Callithrix jacchus: one gene and its partner. The protein of the gene in region 1 purifies or fractionates together with the protein of each later gene. This does not show direct contact. Links are inferred from orthologs where the notes say so. Each region holds a gene or a part of one and is shown on either strand. Other genes may lie near its edges.

Region 1 (4,409 bases):
CACATGAAAATCCTGATGCTGGTCAATGCTATTACTATTATTATGAACAAGAAAAAAGTCGGAGGAGTCAGGGACACCCTACTGAAGAAAATAAAAGAGCTAAGTACCAGAGGAAAACAAGAAGGAAGGGGGAGATGCGAATTCCTCAAAGAGATTAGCTCAGCACCTATCCGCTAAGCACCTACTGTGTGAAAAGGAGTTGCTAAACCAAAACGAAGCTTAGTTATTATCTCAAGGGAAGAAAAGGCTTGTCCACAATTAATTCCCATCCAAGGCCAAACACAAAAGGACCATAAGTGGCCTACTAAGTGTTCTGCAAATCCAGAAGAGAAGGGAGAGCTCACTCCTGACTGACAGCTCAGAAAGACTTTAGGGAAAAAGCTGTAAAAGATGGCCAGGAGAGAGGGGACAGGTGATAGATGAGGAATAAAGATCATCCACCCACCCCCATCCAGGCAAACCTCAGTCACACTGTCAACCCCCCACCCCCCAGAGCTTGCCAACCACTGAAGAAGTCCAAATGCAGCTGAAAATCAAGAGCAGAAAAACCTTATAGGGAGGTGAGAGTGATGCCTGGCTCCATGCACCCTGATCCTTCCAACACCCTTTCCCAACCGAACGCTTACACTCCTGGTCCTAACAAGTCTAACTGGGAATTTGTTTTCTTCTTCACAATCTAGTAGGCTAAAGTTTTCTGTGGATGGGACAGTATATAGTCCATCAGACTAAAAACTACAAATGGGTGGGGACCTCACCAGCTTTCCCTGGATTCCATTTCCCTTAGCCCCTGGTGTGGCTGATTTGTGTGTGCATTGTCTACAATTAAGCTACCCAAACCATCTCTGCATGCCCACTCCCCAAGGACAGGGCCTGGGTGGGACACACAACCCTATCCAGCTCACTACCCCTAGGAGGTTCACCATCTAGCACACCATCACCAACCCTGTACTCAGTGCCTCAGGCCCTGAAAGGTTAAGGGGACAACCCAGAATCAGAGCTGCCTGGCAAATACAGAACAGCCCTGGAAGAAAAAGTTTGAAAAGGTCATAGATGGCAGCCCAGTAACCCAGTCAATCAGAGGGCAAATGAATATACCTCTGGGGTCATCAAGCAAGAGGCCAGAACATGAGACTAGAGCCAGCCCCCACCATAAAGGGCCAGCCCCAGGAGAGGAGAAGCTGGGGGAGGCTGGACCTGGTATCCTAGCATCCTCTGTGAGACTGTACCTCAAAGGAACCACACCTCTGAGTCAGACCTCAGCAACAGCAGGAAACAGAGGGTAGAAAAAGGCACAGATGAGGAACAGGGGAAGGCGGCACCGAGGTAGAAGAGAAAGGTGAAAGAAGGCACCATTAAGAAATGGCCTGTGGGCCAGGGCTGGGGGCTACCCTCTGTAATCCCAGCACTTTGGGAGGCCGAGGCAGGCAGATCACCTGAGGTCGGGAGTTCAAGACCAGCCTGACCAACATGGAGAAACTCCATCTCTACTAAAAATACAAAATTAGCCAGGCATGGTGGCACACGCCTGTAGTCCTAGCTACTCAGGAGGCTGAGGCAGGAGAATTGCTTGAACTGGGGAGGCGGAGGTTGCAGTGAGCCGAGATCATGCCGTTGCACTCCACCCTGGGCAACAAGAGCAAAACTCTGTCTCAAAAAAAAAAAAAAGAAAGAAAAAGAAATGGCCTGTGTCAGGACATCATGACAAAGACCAAAGACATGGGTGTCCAGGGGTAGCTGGCCTGCAGGCTAAGAAGGAATAATAATCTGACGGGGAGGACAAATTCCCAATTTGAAGATGGTGCAGCTCAGGAAAGGCAGAAATCCAGCACTGGTGCAAAAAAATAAAAAGGAAGAATGCAAAGGTTATCCTAGGATTAGGAATAAGGGGAAGAGCCTACTCAGATTAGGAAAGGTGACTGGTCTAGGATGTACCTGGAGCCAGTTAGGAGGGCTTTGATAGAAAAGAGGCCTTTAAGTCAGGAGACCCGATATTGCAGCTGGGCCTCTAGCAGGCTGTGTGACCTTGGACAAGTCCCTTGCCCTGTCGGCACCTCAGTCTCCTCATCTGTACCATTAGGGATTGCACTGCATGCGCTCAGAGGTCCCTTCCAGCACTGATGTTCTGAGGTTCCATCAACATAAGGGCTCAGTCCTGCTTACAAGTTTGTGTGTGAAGGAAGAACTAGAGGGAGGGGCCAAGGCCAGATTTGGGTGGAGGAGAGAGAAAGCAGCGCTGTTCTAGGTCAGGGGCTTGGCATGGAAAGAGAAGGGGCCGTAGGGGACTGTGGGGCGGCTGTCCCAGGCGGGTAGGAAGAGGAGGAAAGGGGCTGTTCAGGGCGGGGGGAGGGGGCAATTCTGGAAGGAGGTGCAGTTTCAGATGAGGGGCTGCCTAAACCGATGGGAGATCGGGGCCAGGGGTGATGGGGGGACAGAAAAAGCAGGACAGTGACCTGAGAATGGGGCGAATCTGGAAGAAGGAGGTTACCCTGGGCCGGGGGTAAGAGCAGGGAAGAAGGGAGGAAGGCGTATGTGGGGGGAGTCTCTCCGGGGCAAGGATGGGGAGCTGTCCTAGCCGCGGCACAAGCTGGGGGTGCTGCCAGCCGCGGGGGCGGAGGGCTGGCCCCAGGAGTCCTGCGGGGGCCGGACGGGAGGGTCAGTCTGGGGCTGTCCCGGGCCTGGCTCTGGCCCCTCCCAGAGCTCCGCGCAGGCTCCAAGGCGGCGGTGCGGGAAAAAGGGCCACGCTCACCTTCTCCTTTTTCAGTTTATAGGGCATCTCGGCCCGTCCGGACCCGGCCCGTCTCCTGCGGCCCCGCTCCGGCTCCGGCTTGCCTCGGCCGCACTCGGCCCGTTCGGCGTCTCTTCGCCACCGCCTGCGCGCTGCGCCCGGGTCGAGCGGTGCCTGCGCCTCCAATTGGCCCGAACTCCTACAAAACTGCCTGACAACCAGGCGCCGCCTCCTCGGATTGGTCATTGGAGCCAAGCTGCTTCCTTTTTTTTCTCATTGGAAAGAAATAGTACAAACCGCCAGGGTTCTGCTATCAGAATTGGCTGAAGTGGGTGGTCCCGCCCTAAAGTGGGTCGAGCTTAGCGAAGGAGGCGGGGCTAAGGGAAAACCCAAGCTTGGCTAGGAGTGCTGCACTTCAGCGTCCGCTGTGCGTCGTCCTCGGCCATTCTTTGCGGGGCTGGGAGCTCTGCTCTTTCCTTCTAAAGTGGCTTTCACACTTTGTTCACTCTGCTACCCTGCCCAGTTCGAAGTGGAGGAAGGAAGCCCTAATACGGAGGGCACCTTTCTTCACTGGGGTAAAGTAGCCCTAATTGCAGATGCAAAATTGGTGGCGGAAGCTCCCAAGGACCTTCCAAGACACCCGCCTCCCTAGACAGGAGTTGCAGAGGAGCAAAGGGAAAGCCTGGCAGGGCTAGGACCTGGGCGAAATGAGATGAAAATCTCTGGTTTGGTGCAACTTTATGAAGAGGGTCCCCGTTCCTACTGCAAGTGTACTGGAATTGGAGAACAAGGTAGGTTTGAGCAGTTGGGAACGCAGTGGAAAAGCAACTTAAATTGTTGAGTGTCTCAGGAAATCCATCCCTTACTTGCCACCCTGCCCAAGCCAATGCTCTAATGGTTAAGACTCTGTTCATATTCACAAGGAGTTCGAAGGCTGGTGAATCACAGACGTGTATAAACAGGATTAAGATAGAATGTAAGCCAGGCAGGCACGGTGACTGTAATCCCAGCATTTTGAGAGGCTGAGGCACGCGGATCACCTGAGGTCAGAAGTTCGAGACCAGCCTGGCCAACATGGCGAAAACCCCACCTCTTATTAAAAATTAAAAAATTGGCCAGGCGCGGTGGCTCATGCCTGCAATCCCAGCACTTTGGGAGGCCAAGGTCAGCAGATCACGAGGTCAGGAAATTGAGACCACCCTGGCTAACGCAGTGAAACCCGTCTTTACTAAAAATACAAAAATTAGCCAGGCATGGTGGCACCCACCTGTAGTCCCAGAAACTCGGGAGGCTGAGGCAAGAGAATTGCTTAAACCCAGGAGGCAGAGGCTGCATTGGGCCAAGATCGCACCATTGCACTCCAGCCTGGGCAATAGAGTGAGACTCTGGCTCAATAAATAAATAAATGCATACATACATATAAAAATTAGGCCGGGTGTGGTGCCTCACACCTGTAGTCCCAGCACTTTGGGAGGCTGAGGCAGGCGGATCACCTGAGGTCAGGGGTTCGAGACCAGCCTGACCAGCATGGAGAAACCCCATCTCTAAAAATACAAAATTAACCTGGTGTGGTGGCACATGCCTGTAATCCCAGCTACTCAGCAGCCTGAGGCAGGAGAATAACTTGAACCCGTGAGGCAGAGTGAACCAAGTCGTGCCATCGCACTCCAGCTTGGGCAACGAG
Region 2 (4,340 bases), on another chromosome or scaffold:
GTGGGGCAATCTCAGCTCACTGCAACCTCTACCTCCTGGGTTCAAGCGATTCTCTTGCTTCAGCCTCCAGAGTAGCTGGGACTACAGGCACGCACCACCATGCCCAGCTAATTTTTTGTATTTTTTAGTAGAGATTGGGTTTCACCATATTGCCCAGGATGGTCTTGTTCTCTTGACCTTGTGATCTGCCCTCAGCCTCCCAAAGTGCTGAATTACAGGTGTGAGCCACTGCGCCTGGCCGAGACAATCTTAAATATACCTATAAAGTCCTAGGAACTGTTAGTCTGATTTATTTAGAAGCCGAAGGAAAAAAAAATCTCTTTTGACAAATACAGAAAGTTTCACAAGTGATTGACACTCTGGTGTGATTATTTCAAGGTATAGTAGTGGTACAATATTCTTCTCTAGGAGTTCATCTTAAAATTATTAGAAAGTCAATGGGGGCTCTGCACAGGGTTCACGCCTGTAATCCTAGCACTTTGAGGGACTGAGGTGGGCGGATCACTTGGGGCCAGGAGTTCCAGACTAGCCTGGTCAACATGGCGAAACCCCATCTCTACTAAAATCAGCGCATGGTGGTGGGCACCTCTAATCCCAGCTACTCGGGAGGCTGAGGCAGGAGGATTCCTTGAACTCAGGAGACGGAAGCTGCAGTGAGCAGAGATGGCACCACTACACTCCAACCTGGGTGAGAGAGTGACATTCTGTCTCAAAAACAAAACAACAAAAAAAGAAAGTCAATGGGAAAAACAGATTCAAATAACACTTTGCCCATAACTTCAAGTCTGCATTCTGATGTTCATAGCAAGGTTAACTGACTCAGCTCATTTCAAACCTGTACAATTCACTTCACATTAGAGCTTGAGAAAGATATTTAAAGTATAAATTTTAAGACACAATAAAATGAATGTTTACTGAAGCCACAAGTAAGCAGTTTGTTTCAGAAAAAGAAAAATACCACTTGCTTGGCACTTCTATTTACAAAAATAAATTCTTCGGTGTTAACCAATAGTTACTTAATACATAAAGGTCTCAGGCAACATTATACCCGTTAAAAACACTATTTTAACTTAACACTATTAGTGCTTCTTTTCTAAGTAAATTTCATGATTTTAAGAATGTCCTAAAATAAGACTAACAAAAAATTGTCCTTTTCTTGTGTATTTCTGCAATATCATGATTTCTAAGCGTTATGGTTAAAAAAAAAAAAGTACAGATTATGTTAAAAATAAATAACCTCGTTACTTCATGGACTTCAAGTGGGAATTTTTAACATGAAAAATATTTAGTCCATCTTATAAAGGATAAATGTGGAAAATTAGACTTTAAAGATGGAGAGATGGAAATGATTCCAGGGGTTAAGACAACAAGGAATATAGTATTTATAAAGTGAAGATCACTTTACAAACTCATGAACGATGTACAAGAAAGAATTGACCACCTGCAGGCGTTATTCTTCGGAAAAGAAAAAACTTTATATTAAAATGGAGAATAATTGTCTGAAAAGTGCTATCATGCGTGAAAACGCACACCCCACCTCATTTCCAGCAAACACGGTTCCCAAACTCAAGACCCGCTCTCGTTTAGGAAAATCAATGCTTTACTTCCAAGAGCGAGTGAAGGCAAAGACCAGTCACCATCTGTTTCCACCAAAGTCAACCTCTATTTTAAAAATCGCAGCTGGCCATCACGCCTACCTCTCCACAAACAAACGCTTGACACATTAAAGAGCCAGTAATTTTTTTTTTTTTCTTTTTTCGGAGACAGGGTCTTGCTCTGTCGCTCAGGCTGGAGTACAGTGGCGCGACTTCAGCTAACTGCAGCCTCCACCTCCTGGATTCAAGCGAACCTCCGGCCTCAACCTCACGAATAGCTGGGATTACTGGCACCCGCCACCATGCCCCACTAATTTATTTTTTATTTTTTTTTTTGTGGAGACAGGGCCTCACTATGTTGACCAGGTTGGTCTCTTAACTCTTGGGCTCAAGCAATCCTCCCGCATTAGCCTCCCGAGTAGCTGTGACCACAGGCGTGAGTCACAGCACTTGTGAGTGATTTTTGAGGTGCCTCGTTCGCCTGACAAAAATTCTACATTAATTAACAAGTTCATTAGTAGGTACGACATTCTGGTTAATTTTAGGTGCATTTTCAGAGACAGCATTGCTCCTTTTCGGACGCCGCTCTCGGTAGCCCACTCGGGACATGCTGGAGTGGCAGGAACTCCCCAGGGGAGCGCAGGCAACCTGACCAACCTCAGGCTCGACTCCGGGGGGCGCGTTTCCCTTTCCGTCCACACCCGAGCCCCCACGCCCGGGATCTGGGCCGCCGGCCGCGGGCGTGGGGCGTGTCAGCGCCGAGGCAGAGGCGCCGGGCGAGGGCAGTCCAACGCTCCGGTCCCTGACCGGCCGGGCCCGCCGCCCGAATGGAGGCCGGGGCTGCAACCCCGCAGGCCCCCGGTGGGCCAAGCCGGGCCGGGAGCGGACGGGCCTGGGACGTGCAGGAAGGAAAGCGGCGGCCGCGGCCCATCCCAGCCCCGCGCTCTCGCACTCCCGCACTCGCCCCCGCGGCGCCCTCACCTTCTCGCACAGCGTCCGCACTTGGTTCTCGTTCAGCTGCTTACACTCGTTCAGCTGCTCGACCCACTGGTCCAGCTCCTTGGTGAACGCCTTGTCGTCCATGGCGGCCCGATCCCGATGCGGATCCCGAGCCCCTGCCCCGCAGCCGCCCTCCCCCCACCCCACCCGCCCCCGGCCCCGGCCCGGGCGCCGCTCCCCTCTCCCTCCGCCGCCGCCGCCAGATCCCACTGGGGGAAGACAGAGCTAGGGAGGGCGGCCGCGGGCCCCGCGCCCCGCCCAAGCCCAGAAGGCGGTTCCGAGCGCGCGGCCTGGAGGAGACCCCCGCCCGCCCTTTCTCGCCTGGCCGCGCGCCGCGCGAATAGGTGAAGGACGCGGGGAGGTGCCGGGGAGCGCGCCGCGGGTTCTCGGCCAACTCCCGCTGGACGAAGGCCGTCCGCCGCCACCTCACACCCGCCGGCCTCTACAGGCTATCTTTCCCCTTCTCTCGCTCTTTCTCTCCCCTCCCTCCAGGTTTCCGTCATCGCTCGGGCATTTCCGCCGGGAAAAGGCGAGCAGGCGGCACCGCCCGCCCACGGCGCACTAGGAGCAGAACAGCGCCCTCGCTTGGCCTGGCGGAGAAACGGTCTGAGGAGGCCGGGGTCCCTCCTCCTTTCTCAACCCTGCCCCAGACCAAGCTCTGCTGGTTCTCCCTTCAGATAGACTGATCTCTGGGAACTTTGTCCTCACTTTAGCTTCCTGCAGTACTTTTTCAGTGCTCTGGACAGGGAATTGGAAAACTTGGGCTCCCCTTAACATTGTTCCCCCCAGAGTCTAGCACTCAATAGCAGGCATTCAATATTGATGGAGTAAATAATTGATTATTTACAGCCGGGTCTGTAGTCCTAACATCTCGAATCCTTCCCTTCAACATTAGAAAAGTGAAATGGTTGTTCTGTAGGATAATCTGTGGCCCTTCCAGCTCTAGCGTTCTTGACTGCGTTTTCTGCAATATGTACTGAGGTTAATGATTTGTTCATTCAACAAATATTTATTGAGACAGAGGAGGGACCCCTTCTTAGGGGCCAGCTAGGCACCCCCCTCCCCAAGTATGGAAAGGAAAATCTTGAGTTCTCTCAAGGGACATTCCCGGCACCTAACTTCCTCGAGAAGTCAATGAGCAACCTGATAAGCAAGAAGGTAATAAAAGCTTAAGGCAGTAACCAAGGACGTTAGATTCACAAAATGTTTGGTTCCTTAAAGAAACTAAAGAGGACGATGTCCCTGAGTTGTTTTTTAGAAACCTGGACCCTCACCAAATGGAAAGTGCTGTCCACTGGCATGGAGACTTCAAACTATCTATCTTTGTTCTAAATTTCTTACTGAGGAGCCTGGAAAAATTCACAAAGCTTTGCCTCCTTAACCAGTTGCAAATCATAAAATCTTTGAATCCATCTATGACCTGTGGGTCCCTGCTTCAGATATCTTGGCTTTTTAGATCAAATTCATGTATAGTCTCCATGTATTGATTTATGACTTTGCCTGTAACCTCTGCCTCCCTGCCTTTAAAAACCCTTACCTGGGCTGGGCACAATGGCTCACGCCTATAATCCCAGCACTTTGGGAGGCTGAGGTGAGTGGATCATCTGAGATCAGGAGTTCAAGACCAGCCTGGCCAACATGGTGAAACCCGTTTCTACTAAAAATACGAAAATTAGCCAGGCATGGTAGCGGGCACCTGTAATAATCCCAGCTACTCGGGAGGTTGAGGCAGAAGAATCACTTGAT

Evidence for each region.
Region 2: the proteins of PPP2R5D (region 1) and PPP2CB purify together in Homo sapiens (affinity purification with mass spectrometry; 8 studies listed by BioGRID and IntAct, counting the BioPlex papers as one, with this or other methods). This does not show direct contact. The link is inferred for Callithrix jacchus from reciprocal best matches to the Homo sapiens genes PPP2R5D and PPP2CB.

Annotation. Positions count from the first base shown.
Region 1 is NC_133505.1:51,474,184-51,478,592, reverse strand, and holds the start of PPP2R5D (serine/threonine-protein phosphatase 2A 56 kDa regulatory subunit delta isoform), read right to left. Parts: upstream 2,863-4,409; 5' UTR 2,774-2,862; coding exon 2,747-2,773; intron 1-2,746. UniProt on the Homo sapiens protein: The B regulatory subunit might modulate substrate selectivity and catalytic activity, and might also direct the localization of the catalytic enzyme to a particular subcellular compartment.
Region 2 is NC_133514.1:31,977,784-31,982,123, forward strand, and holds the start of PPP2CB (serine/threonine-protein phosphatase 2A catalytic subunit beta isoform), read right to left. Parts: upstream 3,093-4,340; 5' UTR 2,679-3,092; coding exon 2,577-2,678; intron 1-2,576.